Linked DNA regions of Astyanax mexicanus. The protein of the gene in region 1 interacts with the protein of each later gene in a pairwise test. Links are inferred from orthologs where the notes say so. Each region holds a gene or a part of one and is shown on either strand. Other genes may lie near its edges.

Region 1 (10,549 bases):
AAATAGGTGAGTGCAGGTCAGTACAGCTGTGGATAAGAACTTGTGGACCTTTGCTGAAAGAAGACAATTCACATTTTGGGCAGTATGACTGTGGATTAGATCTTACAGATCGCACAGTTTGGTGGTTGTTGGGCAAAAAAAAACTAAGGCTTGAGTCTAAAAATGAATAGGGGTGAATTGGAGGAACAAGGGGTGAAAATAACACAATAAATAAACAATATGGGTCAAATGGACTGAATTTATTCGTGGGGTCTTGCCTTGTTTTTAAAATGGGTGGTATCAGTTGAGAATATATACTATAGATATGCTGTCGATTCTTATTTAGAATTTTGGACTAATTTCTTTATTTTGAAGCTGCAGAGCAAAACTAAATAAGTAAACATTCCACACAAAGGTCCAATCCCATTAACCCCTTTCCCTTGGAAGAGAGTAACAAGTGGAAGGGGTGAAATCTTGCCCCTAAAAATGGGACCACCCTTTTAAGTACCCAATACAAATATATAGCAGTGAAGCGCTAAAGTTCAGCAACCTAGCTGCTGGTTAACTCCTAGGCATGCATGCACAAACCAAAAGATTAAGAGTAAGTGGTAGGGCCAAGGGGTGAAATGGGATTACACTTAACATACATTATTTTTCCACTGGACTGTTTGTGGGAATTAAATTTTTCTATGTACCATCCCTTTAAGCGTGAATATCAACCAGAGTCAGAAACTGAAGCAGTGAGACACGTACCAGCAGGAGCATTGGCCGCTTCCATGTTGTGAGACCGATAATCCCCGAGAGGATGACCTGCAGAGAACAGAATCAGCTAATTCAGCAAATACGCCATGGAGCAGACAGATTAACTTTGCAATGTAGCTGCAGCAGATGCGTAAGGTATTACCATATGGCCACCAACACTTTTACATCCTGCTCTTTGTTTCTTAGCTCTGATGGTCTCATGTATTTTTGTCCATGGAAAACCCCATTTTACTCATTTCAAACCATCTAAATGCTTTTTTTTTTTACCTCAGCATCTTTGAATGCTACTTTCTGTTAATAATTTAGAGATGCTTCTCTAATATGTGGCTACACAATTCCTGGATTTCCTCAGTAATCCTTCATTATCCTCTAATTGTTTCAGTAAAAAATGATGAATAATGTATGACAAGAGTGGAAGAAAACAACTTGGGGTGAGTTCAAATTGCGTACTAATATTGAGTTTTGTGTAGGTCACTCTTGTGCCACCACAACCGATCTGACCATTCTGTCAGGCACTGACTGCACATTAGCTCTGAAGGCATCATGTGGTATCTGGCACCAACATGTTACCAGCAGCAGATCCATTAAGCTCTGTATGTTGTGAGTTTGGGCCTGAACAGATTGCATCAATGAGCTGCCCCTTAAGGTGCCCCTTAACCTGTTGCCAGTTCACAGGTTGTCCTTTTTTGGACCACATTGCAGAAAAAAACCCACAACCACCTGATGTTTAAGAGATGCTCTAAGCCCATAGTTGTCTAGCCGTCATAGTTACGCTATTGTCAAAGCGGGTCAAATCCTGATTTTTGTCCATGTTTTGTGTTTTTAACATCACCTTCAAAAATGACTGTTCACTTGCTGCATAATATGTTAAATCCCACTGAAGACCAAGATAATCAATATATTTTTTTGCTGCGGCTGTCAGTGGTTCTTATGTAATAGCTAATCGATACATAGCTACATAGTTGAGCGTAATTGATTGGCCAAGACATGTTTGGTACCTGAAGTTTGCTTCGTTAGTTTGGACTTGAACTTATGATAAGTATTACTTTTGTAAAATATAGCTATTATACATTTTTACTATAGTTAGTAGTTTAGTATAGTTTCAAAGCTTTAGCAAAAAAAAACAATTTTAGACACCAAACACATCTGATCAACCTCATCCGAGATGAGAGAAATTGTACACTACAGGCCAGTGTGTTTGTATAAGAGAAATCTTTAGCAATACATGGGCCAAAAGTTTGGACACACCTTCTCATTGTTTTTTGTGCAGATTAATATTTGGTTAATATTGAAGAAATATACTATGAAGAAATACATATGGACTTTACACACTTCAGGTAACCACTTCAAGATTGTTAGAAAAATATTCACAGTGACTTATGAAGCTGAACAAGAGAAAAAAATGACCCAGACTGTTTAAAGCTGTCATTAAAGCAAATCAGGACTGATGTGAAGAATCGAATAAAAAAATATTCTGGTTTAACACTGTTTCTATGAAAAAATATTATTTATTAAGTAGTTTCATCGTTTTCAATATGAACTGCAATGTAGAAAATAAAAGGAAAAAACATCAAATGAGAAGGTGTTTGTCTAAATATGTCAGTACTTAAGGAAACAATACTACAACACACCAAAAACTATAAACACTGACTCGCTACTGTATCACCACATTATAAACACATCACAGGTCATCCGCTCATCTCAGTGTTTGTATTTGAGATAAATATGGCCAAAGCTTGAGGTCACTGAAAGTAATTGCAGGTAACAGAATTGTGGTCATATACTGTTCATTATATCCTTGCTGGGGGTAAAATGGTTTGTCAGATTAGGTCTTCAGTACACTTTTTTTGTTTGGGTTTGATGGTTTATCTGGTTCTATAAGAAGGACCAACCTGACCAACAAGACCAAGCTGGACTAACATGACCAAACTCAAAAGCAACATAGACAATACTGGGAGTAGTTAGTCAACAAGCTGGGTTATAACTTTTCTATCTGTGACCAAAATTGAAGTTCACATAAACATAATGTGGCTTTGAAGCAGTATACCAAATCCATCATTTTTTTTATTTGGTAACCAGCTATTCAAGCACATTGCCCCTGAAAGACCATCAAAACCAGCTACTAGCAAAAGCTGGTATTGGGGTGGATTTTTCAGCAGGGAAATCCTATTAACTCAATCAAACACTAATTAATTAGCTAATCAAGTATAAGCTAAAGCTTACCTGTGGTGTTCACAACAACAGCTTTACACTACCACTACTATAAATCATACTCAAAAACAACCAAAGAAAACTGGAACATGCAGGTAAACCTATATAATGTAAACATGACAGACTGAAAATCTTATAGGAAGCAGCTTGTTTACATTTTTTATAAACACGACGGAACACAAAGCAAACACTGCAGGACACGTATTTAATAACTAAAAATGAAGCTAAATCTCAGACACTGAGGTACTCACTGAAGATCCTGCCCAAAACGGGCACGAATTCCGGATGGGAGGCGAGTTACTGAGGGACAGAGCCCCAAAGGACAGCGCTACCATGGAGCAGCCGAGGACCAGCTGCAGCAGCCCGAGCGAGAGCAGCGGTCGAGCGGGCAGCAGCGCGGGGGAGAGCCGCGCCTGGGAGCCGGACATTCGCCACCGAGCGGCGGCCGAGCAGCAGCGGCTGCGGCCTCTGGAAGACGGCGAGGGCTCTCCGAAGTGAGGGGCTAGAGAAGCCCGGGCTAAGCGACAGCAGGAACCGGGCAGGACTACCGGCAGAGACATTGGAGAAGAGCGGCCAGGAGAGGAGCAGCAGTGACCGGGGAGCGGAGGCGGCTCGGGTCCCTCATTTTACTCCGAATGGGTTCAGCTGAAACCGGCGGGAGGAGCTGCTGGATCCCCTCAGCGCTCCGTCCATGATCCTCTCGAGGTGGAGAGAAAGAAACAGAGAACACGAGGGTCTAAAATAACTCCTGGCGCCCGGATTGCGTTTCACATAGTTGGCAAAGAGACAAGAGAAGAAGAGGAGGAGGAGGAGGAGGAGGAGTGTGTGGGAATAGACCACCCTGCACTGAGAGAGAGAGAGAGAGAGAGAGAGAGAGAGAGAACAAGAGTGTGTGAGAGAAATATAGGGAGAAAAAGAAAGAAAGCGAGAGAACAAGAGAAAAGGAGAGAGAATTGGAGAGATAACAAAAGAGAAAAAGAGAAAGAATAAGAGAGACAGAAAGCGAGATAACAAGAAAAAAGATTAAAGGAGAAAAAGAGAGATGTGTATGACAGAGAAAAAAAGAACAAGAGAAAGAAAGAGAGAAAGAACAAGAGAGAACAAGAGTGTGAATGGGAGAAAGAGAAAGAAAGCAAGAGAACAAAAGGAAAAGAGAACAGGAGAAAAAAAGAAAGAACAAGAGAAAGAGTGTGTGACAAAGAGAACAAGAGAAAAGGAGAGAGAAAAAGAGAAAAAAGAAAAAAGAGAGTGTGTGTGTGAGAGCAAAAGAGAAAGAACAAGAGAGTACAAGAGTGTGTGAGGGAGAAAGAGAAAGAAAGCAAGAGAACAAGAAAAAGAGAATGAGAGAACAAGAGTGTGTGAAAACAAGAGGGAGAAAAAAAGGAAATGAGAAAAACAGTAGAAAAAGAGAAAGAACAGGACTAAAGGGAAAGAACAAGAGTTAGAAAAAAGAAGATAGAGAACAAGTGACTGTGACAGAGAGAGATAGAGAACAAGAGAGAGAAAGAAAAAGAGGGAGAACAAGAGAGAAAGAAAAAAGAAAGGGAGAGAGTGGGAGTGAAGAAAGATGATTTTGCTGATTCTTTTTTATTTAAACCAAACAGCAGTCATGCTCTCATCTTAGAGTGCATTATAATAAATCAATCATTTCTTAAAATAAGATGACCACAAACAGATTTTAATAAATCAAACCAATAAAAAAAGCAAAGCTCCTTCTCCTTCACACTGCCTTGTCCCAGCACCACACAGACGTGAAAGCTTCTAAAATCATGCTGAAGGTTAAAAGCTTCTAAATCATGCCACAGATTTAAAAGCTTTTAAACATATGCTACATACTTAAAGGTGTCTTACCATGCCGCTTATTTAAAAGCTTCTAGATCATCGAATCATCAAATAGCCATTAAAAGCTACTTAAAAATGCCCTTAAAAGTAATTTCCTGTAAAAGAATCAAAATGAAAAAAAAATAATAGAACGAATCCCCATTCAAATTAATTGAATCGCCATTTAAAAGGATCGCACATAGACTGTATATAAAGATGGACGCCGTGTCGCCGTTCCCATTCATTCAATGAAAATGAAGCCAAAATCTTCCGCCATTTTGGCGATTCAGAGACCAGAGTCTGCGCAGTAGAGACCAGAGGAGGGAGAAAGGCTGTGGAGAGACCGCCTACTCTTTTAAATAACCCCGCCCCTGAGGGCTGCCTCGCGGTCACAGACTGCAGAGCGGGACGGAGCGGAGCTGACGGTCTGTTATTGGTCCCGTCCATAAGCAGCCCTTTTACCATAACCACACCTTTTTTTAATAGAGCCGAATAAAGTTTTAAAAACCGAATTCTGTGGGGATATAAAAATTTGACAATATAAGCAGAGGTTACACTAGCTGTTGCATTTAAATAATGGAGGTAGAATTACAGTATATTAGAAAAAAACGTGATTGAAAGTTGTCTGTTTTGCCATTGAAACCTATGGGGATGGGTGGAGTTACACAGCTTTCTGCAGCCGAACAGCAGGGGGCGCCCGACCTGTGGTGGCTTCACTTTTAAGAGACGATGCTCTGTCCAGCTATATACAGTCTATGGTATGGAGCGAATTAATAGTTTGGTTTAATGTTTATATTTTCTGTAGAAACTGGAAATATATGTTACGTTTTCTTTGCTTTTTTAAACAAAATACTTCATTCTACTTTCTAGAATTAGAGGAATATCCTGGAAAAGTATTTAGTTATATTTTTTAATTTAAGTTTTAGCTGTTTATCTCCATTGACCCCCATTCATTAAGGACTCACTAGTGGGCTCCATCTAGCGGTTTGAGCTCATTTTATGACAGTAACGGCAGGAATACCAGTAAGTGGCGGTCTCTCCATGAACCGGTGTTTTGTCGGGTTAAGATACCCATCGATACGTGCTTCCTAAGGCACTGCGCATGCGCTGACCTACACTTTTTGATGATTTAAACACTTTAAAAACAAAATTGTTTTGTTTTGTTTTAATAATAAATCTGTTATAACATGGACTCACTGTCATTACAAAAAAGTGTAAATGAAAATTAATAAGAATAAAAAAATACAATAATTAGTATAAAAAATACAAAAGCATTTTGTAATGTCCTCTCGTTGCCAAGGTACAGTAATTTATGCTTTCCAAATATACTAGCTAGCTACATCTACTGGGACTCTTACTGGAAACATGCTCTACTATGGTGTTTTTACAGTTAAATAAACACTAGGGCAGCACGGTTTGACAAGATAGCACAAATTGACGGAACACCGGCTCTGGTACAGTAGGATACCTGTTGCTAGAGCAACAGCGCGGCTTCCCTCATCCAGTTAAGCTGTAGGCTAACAAGCTAAGCTAAGCTAAGCTAAATTAGCTGCCTTGGCTCACAGAGAGGGGAAAAGTTATTGAACGGAGTTATTTTGCTAGTTAGCGAGGTTAGCTAAGCTAATTTAGTAAGTATGCATTTTGTTCGGCGCCCGGCAAATTAACGACTCGCCCAGCTCCGCTTTTCCATATTTACTATTTCGCCCGCTGTTTATTTTATCAGTGTTGAAGAGTGAACAATCACAGAATGCAGCCCGACTCTGCGAACAATGTTTACCGGTCAGAGTGAGAAGCGCCTCCGCCCGGAGGTCGAGCCCCGCCGTGAGAGAGCTGTGAGGGACCCGCTTCAGCCAGCTCTTCCCCCAGGTGAGTTCAACTCTAATATTCCCGCTGTTAGTCCGCATAAAGGCGGCAGGAAAACCCTTAAGGCTGTAAAAGTTTATCGTAGTTTGGTAGTAAGCTAGTATGTTAGCGATAGCGACAGTTAACTAGCTAGGTTAGTTAACTAGTTGGTTAAGCAGGCCAGACTTTACTAATCTAAGTCTAACAGTTCCTTAATCTTTTTTTAGGTTGTTTGGAAGAAGGCATGCCAGAAAGACCCAATATCAGCCTGGATGTTCTGAGGTATGAATAATTAATATTTGGGAGAGATCTGTCTATCAATTCACTCATTCACCTGTTCACCTATCCATTCAATTATCAATCTTTCCATCTCTCTGCCTGTCCCTCTATTCCATTCTCTATCCATCCACCTGTCTTTTTTGTCAGTCCATCCATCCACCCATTGATCTGTCTTTTTCTCTCCCTACCTGTCTCTCTGTTCGTCCGTCTGTCAATCCATCCCTCCATCCTTCCACCCACCTCCTTTTGGTCTGTCTGTCTTTTTTACCTTTTAAATCCATTTTGCTATGCCCACTAACTTGACAATCCTGGTGATGCCTCTGTTTCCAAGAAAAAGGTGGGTTGAAAAATAGTGATGTAAAAAACACTTTTTGTTCTAAACAAACTAATCACACTCTTCAAAGTGAGGAACTGGAGAAACAAACCAGGGAGACACAAAAGCTTCAAGAAGAAGTTGAACAAGCCACCAGACTGACTATGCAGAGGATGGGTCGGACATCTTTCAACACGGACTTGCCAGTAAACTACAGTTCAGCAACAAGTGAGAATATTACACTTTTTGATAATAGCCTGTTATCTGTATACTTTGAAGTCTACATGAAACTCAGTTACATGATTTTGGCTTCTGTCTTGCAGGTAGATCATCAGAAGCATCATCAGAACGTGGCATTTACAGACAACCGTGCGTCCTTCGACCTACTGCCGATCATTTGGATGTGAACACCGCAGGATGTTTGAACTTCCCAGGGAAAGATGTTCTTGAGCAGGCTGTAGAGGAGTACTCTCAGCAGGTCTCTGACCTTCAAAGGCAGATCAGAGAGGTCTGTATCTGGAGCAAGTTAGCAGCCTTTTTGAAGTGATATTTGTGTTTCATACTAGGGCTGCAGTGCACAGTCCACATAAAAATCAATGACATTCACAAATCTACAGATTGCAGTTGCAGTCATATTGCTTATGAAAACATTAATAATGACTGGTGGATTTGACAATATTTTATTATTATTGTTTTAATGCATTATTTTATGGCTTTTTCTGAGTAGCGATTCGACACTGAACAGGGTATTTCATTAAAAAGCTTAAATACTTGTTATAATACTTTAATTTAATGTAATTAGTGCCTTAGGGTATATTATATGTTTAATATTAATTAATACACTATTAGTTATATATATTATGTACAGTTTGTGCTATTGGTGTTATTTTGTATATTTTCTGTGTTATGGCTTTTTAAATGTCTGAGGGAAAAACATTGTATTATGTATGGTGCAACATAAAACTTGTGATTAGTATTTTTGCTATATCGATTAAAAATTAGGTCTATCAGGTGATTTGACCTTATACAGTGTCTTAATATTCCCTGTTAATTTCTTTCAGACATATGAGCTGCATGACCAGCAGAAGTATCATTACCGCCACACCATCATCCAGCTACAAACCAAACTGCACGAGAACCAGATTGAAAAAGATGCACTGGAAGACTTAAGGTAAGAGAAATCTAAACATAACCCTTGTGATCTAATTATGACTGAAGTGCAGTACGTCTGTACATTTTCTCCTTACAGAGAGAAGGAATCTACGAAGCAATTTGAGCTAACAGGACAGTTACAGGAGACTCTTCAGGAGTTGCACAAAGTCAAGCAGAAGCTGATGGAAGCTGAGGACAGAGCAGAGTGTTTTAGAAGACAAGCAGAGACCATGGAGCAGATGCTGCATGACGTGTTCATCAGACTCTCACAGTATGAGAAGCGCAGTGGAAAAAGGAGCTATCTCTGCTGTGACGGCCCCTTCAATCCTGACAAGCTTCCGCTAGGACCAGTCCTGGAGAAAGCACTACAACATATTGAAAATGAGAACTGTGGTCTCCAGGAGAAACTGCAGTCGGTATGTCACTTATGTCTAAATGCTTTTATATGTTAGAAATGTTACTTTGATAATATTTGATAATTGTGATAATTGTAAAATTGTCGATTATATTTTTGTATGTTTGGTCACATATGTAACAGTGAACAGTATTTTATTCAGCTAAGTGAACAAAACTGTAATTCTTAAAAAAATGAAAATTATTTATTAGGGAAAGTAAAGGGCTACCTTTATTTAGAGTTAGCTTAGATTTCCAGATTTTCAGTAAGTAGCAGCATTAGCATTAATGCAGCCAGACAGTGCTACATTGAGGAACCCTAAGTGTTCGTCCCACGTAGCACGTAACGTGGTAAATAAGCAGACTGCAGTCTGATATACTCATCTCTCTGAACGGTGAAAGAGCTAGCGCTTAGTGCGGTTAGCGGGTAATGCTAATACTGCTCAAGCAGTGCTAGCCGGGGTTAGCAGCAGTCTACAGGACGATAATACTCACTTTGGAACTGCAAAATAACTAGCGCTAGCACTTAGCGCAGATAGCGGGTAGCTCCAGCAGTGCTAGCCGAGGTTAGCAACCGATAATACTCGCCTCTGAATGACAAAAGAACTAACGCTACTAATGCTAATACAGCTCCAGTCTCTGTGCTGGAGAACTAAACTGGAACTCCTGTATAACTCTTCTGCACTTCAGCACAGTGGCTTAACTGTTCTGACTGTTAAAATTTATACATAAGGCATTTTGGATCATAAGGCGCACTGTCGATTCTAAAAAAAAATATATAGGATTTTAATTGCTTTGTTATGCTATTATCGCAATATTTTTGCAACTATGCATTGTCCACAAAAAATGCTAATAGGACAGGCCTTTGGTGAATTAAAAGACAAGGTGATGTTAGCCATTTTTATGAGGTATGCTAATGCAAGTGTTTTCAACTATGAGTGGATGAAAATATTTCCATAAATGGAGGGAAATAAACCTGTGTTTTTTGTTTTATATATTTTCATATGTGTGACTAATGGCATCACTTTAAACTGAATTGTTGCAAATGTAAGTATCACCTGACTGGCAGTTAATTATTATTATTTTTTTGGGCAGCTGGAGAGGCAGTTGGAAGACATTAATAAAGAGGCGTCTGAGAGAACAGAATCTCTTCTGGAGGAGCAGAAAGTGAAGTATGCATATAAACAACTAAACAATACACATTTACTATATAGCTTTAATAACGTTATATATAATGATTTGAGATTATTGATATGATTGTCAGTTATTTGTACAATTAAATATGTATGTATGCATAATTTTTATACATTGTGTTTTATACAGAGTGGAGCAGCTCATTACCAGTCATGACCAGGAGATGGCGGCATTGACTAAGAGCCTCTGTCGGTCTCAGAGTAATGCAGCCAGTCTGCAACTACAGGTGGAATTATTACAGTAAGAGCCATGCTGATCTGCCTCGGGCACATTTTATTATAATGCTATAGCATCTTTAAATAGTATGGAAGCGTATATAGAAGTATTTTGTGTTTTGTGTTTATACAAGAAAACAGGCTGAAAGCCAGACCTCCTCTCATCAATCCCAGATCAGCATTCTGGAGTCTGCTCTCTCTGTACTGCGCTCAGAACTAATGGAGAATCAGAATCAGTATCAGGCAAAGGTAATGCAAAATATCTATACAAACACCCCACATGTTCCTTGAGCTTTACGCAGTAATGAACTCTAATACACGCTGCTGTTCTTGATAGTCTCCATATGCTCTGTAAACATATGGGAGCTATCAAGCACCAAGCACATTT
Region 2 (9,584 bases), on another chromosome or scaffold:
TGCAGTCTCGGCGGTGTTTTATTTGGCGGCTCTGCGTTAGCTGGAGAGTTCATATCCTGGTGTTTGATGTGGTCCAGACTGAGCTATATTCAGCATCTGCCTGTTCTCCTCCAGACGGCCTGCTTTTCATCTCTACCTGCTCAGATCTCGGGCTTTAGGAACCCTATTATCATGTGATCATGTGTACATGAACGCGTGGACTGGAGTTTAAACACCACACATGAGGACAAAATCCCATAATAGTCCCTCGTACAGAGCAGTCTAAAGTAGGGGTCGGTATCGTCACTGATCTGATTCAAATTCGATTCATTAAGGGAAACTTCAAATTTTAAAAATTGTAGTTTAAATGTGAAATGAAATTATACAAGGAACACTTGAACTTCCACTATTAAAATATTAGTGTTCATATTATATAGACTTAACACAACAGTTACATTCTTCTTTTAAATTTCTTTTTAATATAGTTTAGTTAATCACATTATACAGGTTTGGAATGACCACTTTACTCAAATTTTATGTTTGTGTGTGGATAAAACATAACATGCTTCCAGAACATTAATGAAGCTTTGGAAGCCATCGTTTACAACAACACTGTATGAATATATAACTGTTATACTGACATTTTAGCTGCATAATAAAAGTGTGAAATTTACCCAAACCCACTAGTTCAGATGTGATAATATAATACACATAGTGATAATAAAAAAAAAACACAACAAGAAAAATGAATAATGTAAAGAGAGAAAACTTTATTAAATTCTGAGGGAAAAACCAGCCAGTCTGAGCGTAGCTCTTCTTTCCCTTTATTAGAGCCTCACGTTCATCTCTGAGGACAAAATACTCTGAATTAGTAACAGTGCTTCACGGAAAACATGATCATAATTCCACTATTAACACATTAAATCACTCAGGTACAGGTTAATCTACAGTTATACCAGCTAGCAGTTAAACCTGTTGCACTGTACGACCCTCTGACACTGCTAGCGCACTGGCGGGGTTAGCTTAGCATGCTAGTGTAGTTAGCTTAGTGCACTATCCGTGGGGCTTGGTGCTTGGAAAGCTAGCTAAAGGGGGATTTGCTTCCCTGGTGAAACGGCTAACCCGCTAAGCTAAGCTAACGGTGGATTCAGGCGGACAGGTCTTACATTTAATCAAGTACAGGCAAAAACGACACTGGAAAACAATTTGAAACAGTGTTAAATGTGCTAGTTAAAAAAAAAAAAAACAGGCAGCACTGAGTGGAAAAGCAGTCAGAAGAAAATTACTTACATTACATTTTTGCAGAAACTCCCCGCAGACTCCCCAGACTCCTGGGCGCTATATGTGTAAAAAACTTTACACATATGCAGAGAAAATGGGCTAATTGTAAGGAACGATTTGGGTTTATATGAATCGATATCGGATCATTCAAATGAAGATACGATTTTTTTAACACACATTTTTTTAGATGACACACTTGGATTTTCATACATTTTTAGGGGTGTATTGTGTTGTAATTGTTGTTATTTTATTAGATACTGCTATAACTCTGAAACATTTGTGGCCTGCAAGCATGAAACATCGGGCCCGTGATGTTGTTTGAACTATAATGAACAGTAAAGAAAAAAATAAAATAAAATGCTTCTCTGGTGAGCTTTTGTTTACATTCCTCCCCTGTCTGTCTCTCTCTGTCGCGCTCAGCATAACTTTAGTTTCTGCTCGTCCTTGTTTTTCCGCTCGTTCTTAGGCTCCCTATCTCCTTTTAAGGGCGTTTTTTTCCCCGGCTGTGTCCCAATTCACTAGCCGGGGCAGCAGTAGTGTATTAGAACGCGACCCTGATGACACAGGTTTGATCGTGTGTTTATTTATTTGTGTGTTTACTTATTTATTTATTTACTTTACTCTTGGGTTTATCTGCTCTGAGATCAACTGTTCTGCAATTGGGTTCAACAACCCTCTGGGCTGGGGAGCTACTAGTCTAGTCAGTTTAGTTCTGCACTACTCCTGCCTGTATTACTCATATTGTGGGAAAATGACTGTAAGACATGTTAAAATAAGGTTTTTTAGGGCTTATTCTTTCACTGCTATAGCTAATGTAATTATATTAAAAGTACCTTACAAATGCAACATCATAATACTACAAAGGTACAATGCAGTTTATAGGTTTTAGGAAATGGGAAAATGAGTGTGGGACATATTGAGATAGATTTGCATGTGCCATTCTTTTACAGCTATAGCTAATTTTATAATTACTATCTGCTAGCTGTGCTACATGAGTTAATGAGTTAAAAATGTATTATTTTAATATTGCCCTTGCCAGCTTGGTTTGTGCTCAGTGCTACCACCCTTAAATGGGTTTTGACACAGTTCTAACAACTGACAGATGCTAACCATACAGGAAACATGCTAACATACAAGCTGTGAGCTAACATGCTAACTGTAGGGTAAAACACACTAAATAAAATTGAGTAGTAAATGTGAGGCTCTAAGGCTCCAGCTTCAAGTTTACGCATCAGCTGGAAGTTGTAGTCAACCCCTATATACTGCATTTTGTGTCATGTAGCACAGTTAGCACAATAAAGTCTATCACTACCACATGTATCTTTCTTTATGTCTCACACTGATTACACTGGCAGTAATTGGAGTAATTGCACTAAGACGAAATTAGCTAGCATGTAAGTGCTATCATCTCAGCACTCTCGGCTAATTGCCTGGGTAGTTTATAATCCGGCAGGATCCCAAATCTCATTTCCTTTAATTCAGGATTACCCAGTAAATAATCTTAGCCAACACAACAAAGAGCAGCTGCACTCAATGTATATATATATATGCATATATATAAGCTATATATATATCATGTTTGAGCAAAATTAACACTGCTGTTTTATTCTATAAACTACAGACAACATTTCTCCCAAATTCCAAATAAAAATATTGTCAATTAGAGCATTTATTTGCAAAAAAAGGGGAAATGGCCAAAAAAAAAAAAAAAAAAAAACAACAACAAGAAAACAAGTTCATATTCATAAAGTTTTAAGAGTTCAGAAATAATCAATATTTGGTGGAATAACCCTGGTTTTTAATCACAGTTTTTTTTCATGCATCTTGGCATCATGTTCTCCTCCTCCACCAGTCTTACACACTGCTTTTGGATAACTTTATGCTGCTTTACTCCTGGTGTAAAAATTCAAGCAGTTCAGTTTGGTGGTTTGATGGTTTGTGATCATCCATCTTCCTCTTGATTATATTCCAGAGGTTTTTAATTTGGTAAAATCAAAGAAACTCATCATTTTTAAGTGGTCTCTTATTTTAGTTCCAGAGCTGTATATATAGCCTTATACCTGGTTTCTTTATGGGTATAATAATAATAATAATAATAATAATAATAATAATAATAATAATAATAATAATAAATGGCTTAAATTGCACATATTTGACTGAAACACATACTGTATCTAGACGCTCATGACCACCAGAGCGCCTCGCTCTGAGTATTAAAGATTCATGGGTGTCGTGACCCTGAGCTGAATTAATAGGCGTGGGTTGTGCCGTGCCGGTGGGGAAGCTCATCAGCTCAGCACGTCAGCAGCCTGTCTGATGCTCGTGTGCAGCGCTCAGATCAAACTCTGTGAATGTCAGAGAAAAGCGTGGCGGTTCTGTGATCTGCATGGCGGTGGTGGGGGGGGGGGGGTTACTACATGTTTAAGCAGCTGAACATATGTTAACATGCACCGCTCACGAGCTGCTAATCGTATTGCAGGGCTCAGTATGTTCACTGGTGCAGACGCACTGCGAGGAAGGTCTAGGACTTCTTCTATTCCATGATAAAACTCTTGCATCCGGGGTACAATTAAAAAAAAGTAGTTCAGTGGCTCCTCCATGTCCACTCGCTGTTGTGTTTTTTTTTAAGTGGATCTCCGTGGAACCTGTGGTGCAACCAAAGTGTAATGAAGGTGCGCGGCAGTGAACAAATAGCTATTTTATTAAACGTAAGGAGATAAAACTCAAAGATGTGGATCCGGACAGGACTAAAATTACCGGAGGACCACGAAAAGAGTTCAGCGAAAAACAGTAGATAAATTACGTCTGTGAAAAACACCTACATGGTCGTTCTGGATGGGAATAAAATCACAGAGGACCCCCCTATAAAAGAGAAAATTACATCAGAACCCCCTGAGACACTTATCCCCCTCTAGATAGGGTTTTAAAATCTTTTAATTTAATCAAAAATCGTCAGTGCACCTTATATTCAGGTGTACCTTATGTATAAATTTTATTATGCTATAAAAAGTATTATAGTTATAAGGGTGAGTTTTCAGTGAAGTTTCTGTCCAGCGCCAAGGCTGAAAAAAAAATAGCATTAGCTAATAACCATTAACCAGGCTAACCATGCTAAGAGCTAGCTCTTTTGTTGTTCAAATGTTAGTATATCGGATCATACATTTATTCTGATCCTTTGTTGTTACTGCTGTGTTTCAGTACCCTTTAGCACCCTCTAAGTACAATTATTGTACATTTGTTTATTGGCTACATCTATTCTAATCCTTTGTTTTTACCACTGTGCTTTCTTTAGTGCATCCTCTAGGTGCAATTAAAAGATGTTACAAGTTGCAAATCAACTCTGTCAAATCTGATCCTTTGTTTTTGTCAATGTGCTTTAGCAGAGTGCATACTCTAGGTCCAATTATTGGACACTATGGCTTGTGGATTGGCTACTTTTATTCTGATCCTTTAAATTGCCGCTGTGCTTTAGCAAATTATGGCCTTAATGGACATTACAAGTTGCATATGAACTACATTAGGTCTGATCCTTTGTTTTTGCCACTGTGCTCTGCCCTTTGGCACCATCTCGATGCCATTAATAGACATTATTGGTTGGGTATTGGCGATGTTAAACTGGAATGAGTTCCAATCCCTTGTTTTTACTGTTGTGCACTAGCAGAGTACCATTTGGCACCCTCTAGGGGCAATTGTTGGACATTACAAGTTGTGTATCAACTACATTTTGTTTGATTCTTTGTTTTTGCCACTGTGCTTTAGCAAAGGATGTCATTAATGAACATTAAGAGTTGGGTATCAAATATGATAAATCTGATCCTTTGTTTTTGCCACTGTGCCCTTTGGAACCCTCTTAAAGCCATTAGTAGACATTATGGTTTGGCAATTGTTAAGCTATGTTAAGCTGGAATCTGTTCTATTCCTTTGTGCTTTTAGAGGGTACCCTTTAGCACCCTCTAGCTGCATTTGTTGGACATTACAAGTTGCTTATCAATTACGATAAGTCTAATCCTTTGTTTTTGCCACTGTGCTCTCTCTAAATGCCCTTTAGCACCCCCTAGGTGCTATTAATAGGCGTTATGGGTTGGCTTTTGGCTATGTGAAGCCGGAATCAGTTCCAATACTTCGTTTTTGATGCTGTGCTTTAGCAGAGTACCCTCTGGCACCCTCTAGGTGCAATAGTTGGACATTACAAGTTGCGTGTCAACTATACTGAGTCTGATCCTTTGTTTTTGCTGCTGTGCTCTGCCTGAATGCCATTTTGCACCCTCTAGGTACAGTTATTGGACATTATGATTTGTGTATCGGCTACATTAATTCTGTGTGCACAGTTTTGTAGACTATGTCTTGAATATTGGCCATGTTAAGTCCGATCCTTTGTTTTTACTGCTGTGTTATATCTATAGTAATCTTTATGGAGCATTAGGGGTTAACAAGTCTTCATTGTCAGTGTGTTTTCCTCCATATATTATGAATGAACGTCTGCAGAGCTCCTCCACGGGGGAGTGCCCTTCTCCCAGGTCTGAGCTCCGATTGAATATCTGTCAGGATCAGCAGGTGCTGGATTAGCCGGGACTTCTGCGTGATGCTCCGGGTGTCCTTCCAGCCGAGGCACTCTGGAGAATTAGGGCAGCTTGTGGCTCTTAAAGGCTCATTTACCCTGCTGAGCAATACTGCTGTCACACTGCCGTCATTCATCGCTACCCGTAACCCGGTCGCTGGAGCCTCGGCGAGACCCTCGGCTTGAGAAACGACAGCATTCGTCACCGGAGACAGTGCTGGGGCTCGTGGTGAAGCAGTCGGCTCGTGATTTGGTGGATTTGTTGGGAGAGAACAGCAGGCAGAGCTGGTGGGCGGAAGACTCCGGTAACAGAATGGATTTTTGATTGAAATGACCTTGCTGCCCGTGGACCTTCGAGTGGGTGGTAGAAACTGCAAGCCTTCCAAGATATTCTTTTTTTTCTTGAGATATTACATAAGATCTTAGTATTGAAACTCTGAAAGATACTTTCTGCTTCTTACACAAGACATTTTTGCCTGTTTTTACCTCCTCAACATTGTCGATTTGAGAACTTCTCGAGAACCTTTTGTAGGTTCTTGTTGAACCGCTTGCTTTTAGTTTTAGGGAACCTTGTTTTTGCCTGTTTTTACTGATTCTTCAAGACTTTGACTTTGTCCAAAATTGTCCATTTGCGTAAGATGCCTGGTAATTTGAAGATTTTAAGGACACCCTGTTTCTTGATAGCTTCCACAAGACTCTCTAAAAATCTAATTCTAAAGAATAATCTAAAAAGGGTAAAACAACTAAACTTTGGGACTTTGTTTTAAACTTTTAGGTTGTTAATTTTAAGGTCTTTGAGGAAACCCAGCATCTTCAAGACTCCTTGTAAAACATCCAGTCTTTTAAAGACACTGAGGACAACCTTTCACGAGACTCTGTCATCTAAAGACTTTAAGGACACTCTGTTTTTCATATGTGGTCAATTTTTAAGTGTATGACCACATCTTTGGATTACTTGTTTAAGACAGATGTCAAATTCTTTGTGGACACGTTCTTTTTATCTAGATAATTTCTTAAAAAACTTCAGAATTGTCCATTTGTCTAAGATGTCAGATTTGGTAGCTTCTCCAAGACTCTTTCCATTTTCCTGTCTGTGTAAAACATCCAGTTTTTTTTTAAGACGTTGAGGACAACCTGTCCAAATTTTGTATGAACCCCCTTTAAATTGTGACTTCAGGATTGTCCATTTGTTTAAGACATGGGAATTCTTTGAATCTTTTTGAGGACACATTGATTTGAAAGCTTACTCAAGACATTTTAAATTCAAGATCGTCTCATTTGTGTAAGATACTGGAAATTTTGTAGGGACACTCTGTCCACTCCGTCCATTGTCCCATCTATGTAAAACATCCAATCTTCTAAAGACGTTGAAGCCCCTTTTTTTTTTTTTTTTTTGCTATTAAGACTGTGACTTCAGGATTGTCCATTTGTTTAAGACAGGATTTCTTTAAAGCCTTTTGAGGACACGATAATTGGACACTTTCCTCAAGACTCTGTCCATGTTTTGGTAGCTTGTTTTCATCTATATAAGACATTACCCTTTTTTTAAAGACTTTGAGGACATTGGACAGTTTCTTCAAGACCAATGTGAAAAATATCTAATCATCTAGTCATCAAGTTACCTGATGTCCCCTTTTTGACTGTTACTTTAAATCTGTGATTTTAAGGTTGTCCCTTTTTTGAAGTCTTTGAGGACGTCCAATTTTGTTAGCATCTTCAAGACTCAAGACTGTCAATTAAATCATCTGTGTGAAACATCCAATCTTCTATAGACGTTGAGGACAACCTGTTTTTGCCTGTTGTCCAAATTCCATGTCCACCTTTTGGATAAAATCTTTGAGGACACCTTGATTTGGTATTGTCTTCTCATCTACATAAGACATCCAATTTTCTAAAGACTTTTTCTAAAGAAAAGTTCACGATGAGTCACTGTCAGGTCTTGCTTTGTAACCGTAAGCCTTTGGACATAAGTTTGAACGTCCCAATGTCCCCCGAAGCCTGTCCTCTGAGTGCGGCTCAGATTGCAGTATGCAGGCTGGTCCATCGGGGTCCCAGACCCCAGTCCACCTTAAAACCCATCCGGACAGAGCTGGGGGTCTACGTGGAGAAGAGTCGCGCTAAACGGAAACACAGGTACAGATGAACCGTCGCACACAGACGACTCTGTCAGGATTAGCCTGGCTAATCAGCTGTTAAAGCTACACTGAGCCGTGGGAAGTAGGGCAGTACCCATGATGCTTTGCTACGAGTAGTAAAGCAAGGCCTTGTGTGCTGATAGAGCTCGTAAAATGTGAGATTTATGGTGGATAAAGTTGATTAAATTGGTGTAAACTGGTATAATTGTATCAGGTTCCCATTGTTTTGTAACTCACTGCTAGTGCTGGGCAGTATGACAAGAAATGGTACAGTATTTTACAGTATTTTATTCTTATTATTATTTTATTGGGTTTTTATGTAGGTTTGTGATTTACTCTACTTTCAGATGTAAAAATCATCACTGTCCAATAAAAAAACACTTATCTCCATTTTTGCCGATTTTTAGTTTACTACATAATTTGAAAAGACAAACTGTCCCTTACACTGTGCCAAAATTTCTAGATGAACGGACCAATAGAAACTCTTCAAAATTACCTGAAATAAACTCTTTTTACATTGACTTCCATTGAAAGTTTACAAGTTTTTTCTCTCTTCTGTAAAGTTGATGTTTTGGAGATAAGTGTTTTTCATTGGACAGCAACAATATAGTATAAAACACTAAATCTTTTAATTAAGGCTTTGATTACTATTGGGTTCACTTTGTCCCACAAAATATATAAACAATATATGAAGAAATCAGACTTTATTATAAAAAAAAAACAGCTGGATATTGTAATTAAACAATAGACTTAAAAAAAGAGATACACCAACAACTTTAACACAGCTTCCTTTTTAAATAGTTCCATAAATGCTATAAACCTAAAATACTTAATGTTTAATCATTCAAAAAGATATTTCTCAAAAGCTCTATGGCAGACGTTTAATATGTCAAATCAGATTTGGTCTTCATAATAGAAGCTATTAGTGCTGGGCAGTATGGCCAAAAATGCATATCATGGTATTTGTTATGATTCTGACGGTTTCACGGTATATAACCGTATTTTTTACATTTTTAAATTATTATTATTTTTTGCATGACTGGGCTTTAATATAGGTTTGTGAGTTACTGTACTGTTAGTACAGTAAGTATTCAAAGATATATTTCTCAAAAGCTCTATTGCACAATAAATAAATATTTACTATTTATTATTCCTGAAGCCAATAGAGGCATTATAGTACAGCTACAATTTCCTTTCTTTCTCCAGTCAAAAAATACATTCAAATCGTCCTTTAAGCCACAGTAATAAATAATTAATATATTTAAAAGGGCTGTAGTTACAACTCTATAGTACTGGGATAAAACACTCAAAACAGAAGCAGGAGCTGGTAGTTTCTCACTTCACATGGTTGCAGCTGCTTCTCTGACAGTTCTGTTCCGCATGGCGGTCCACAGCGCCCTCTAGCGGTATGGCGGTATGAGAGAAAATGCAATGATTCCTGCAATGGGCGCAACCTATTGTCCACATACTGCTTCCATCTCAAGAGCTTGTCTTGAAGACACTGCAGATGCTGTACTATGTCTTTTCTGTATATTTAGCACAATAAATACAACAGATATACAATCTAAATGGATTGTTCATGGTAACTTTTATCTTCATTTTAAATAGCATAGCAATCTGACTCTTCGTTT

Evidence for each region.
Region 2: the proteins of coiled-coil domain-containing protein 158 (region 1) and gpsm1b interact in a two-hybrid assay, tested with the Homo sapiens proteins (2 studies listed by BioGRID and IntAct). The link is inferred for Astyanax mexicanus from reciprocal best matches to the Homo sapiens genes CCDC158 and GPSM1.

Annotation. Positions count from the first base shown.
Region 1 is NC_064429.1:24,060,234-24,070,782, reverse strand, and holds the start of coiled-coil domain-containing protein 158, read left to right. Parts: upstream 1-6,110; 5' UTR 6,111-6,542; coding exon 6,543-6,639; intron 6,640-6,842; coding exon 6,843-6,897; intron 6,898-7,298; coding exon 7,299-7,435; intron 7,436-7,530; coding exon 7,531-7,715; intron 7,716-8,268; coding exon 8,269-8,378; intron 8,379-8,456; coding exon 8,457-8,775; intron 8,776-9,847; coding exon 9,848-9,924; intron 9,925-10,075; coding exon 10,076-10,186; intron 10,187-10,295; coding exon 10,296-10,410; intron 10,411-10,549. Other genes in the region: protein FAM189A2, read right to left, coding at 733-789, 3,204-3,512.
Region 2 is NC_064408.1:4,129,311-4,138,894, forward strand, and holds the start of gpsm1b (G-protein-signaling modulator 1b), read left to right. Parts: upstream 1-5,829; 5' UTR 5,830-7,739; coding exon 7,740-7,951; intron 7,952-9,584. UniProt on the Homo sapiens protein: Guanine nucleotide dissociation inhibitor (GDI) which functions as a receptor-independent activator of heterotrimeric G-protein signaling.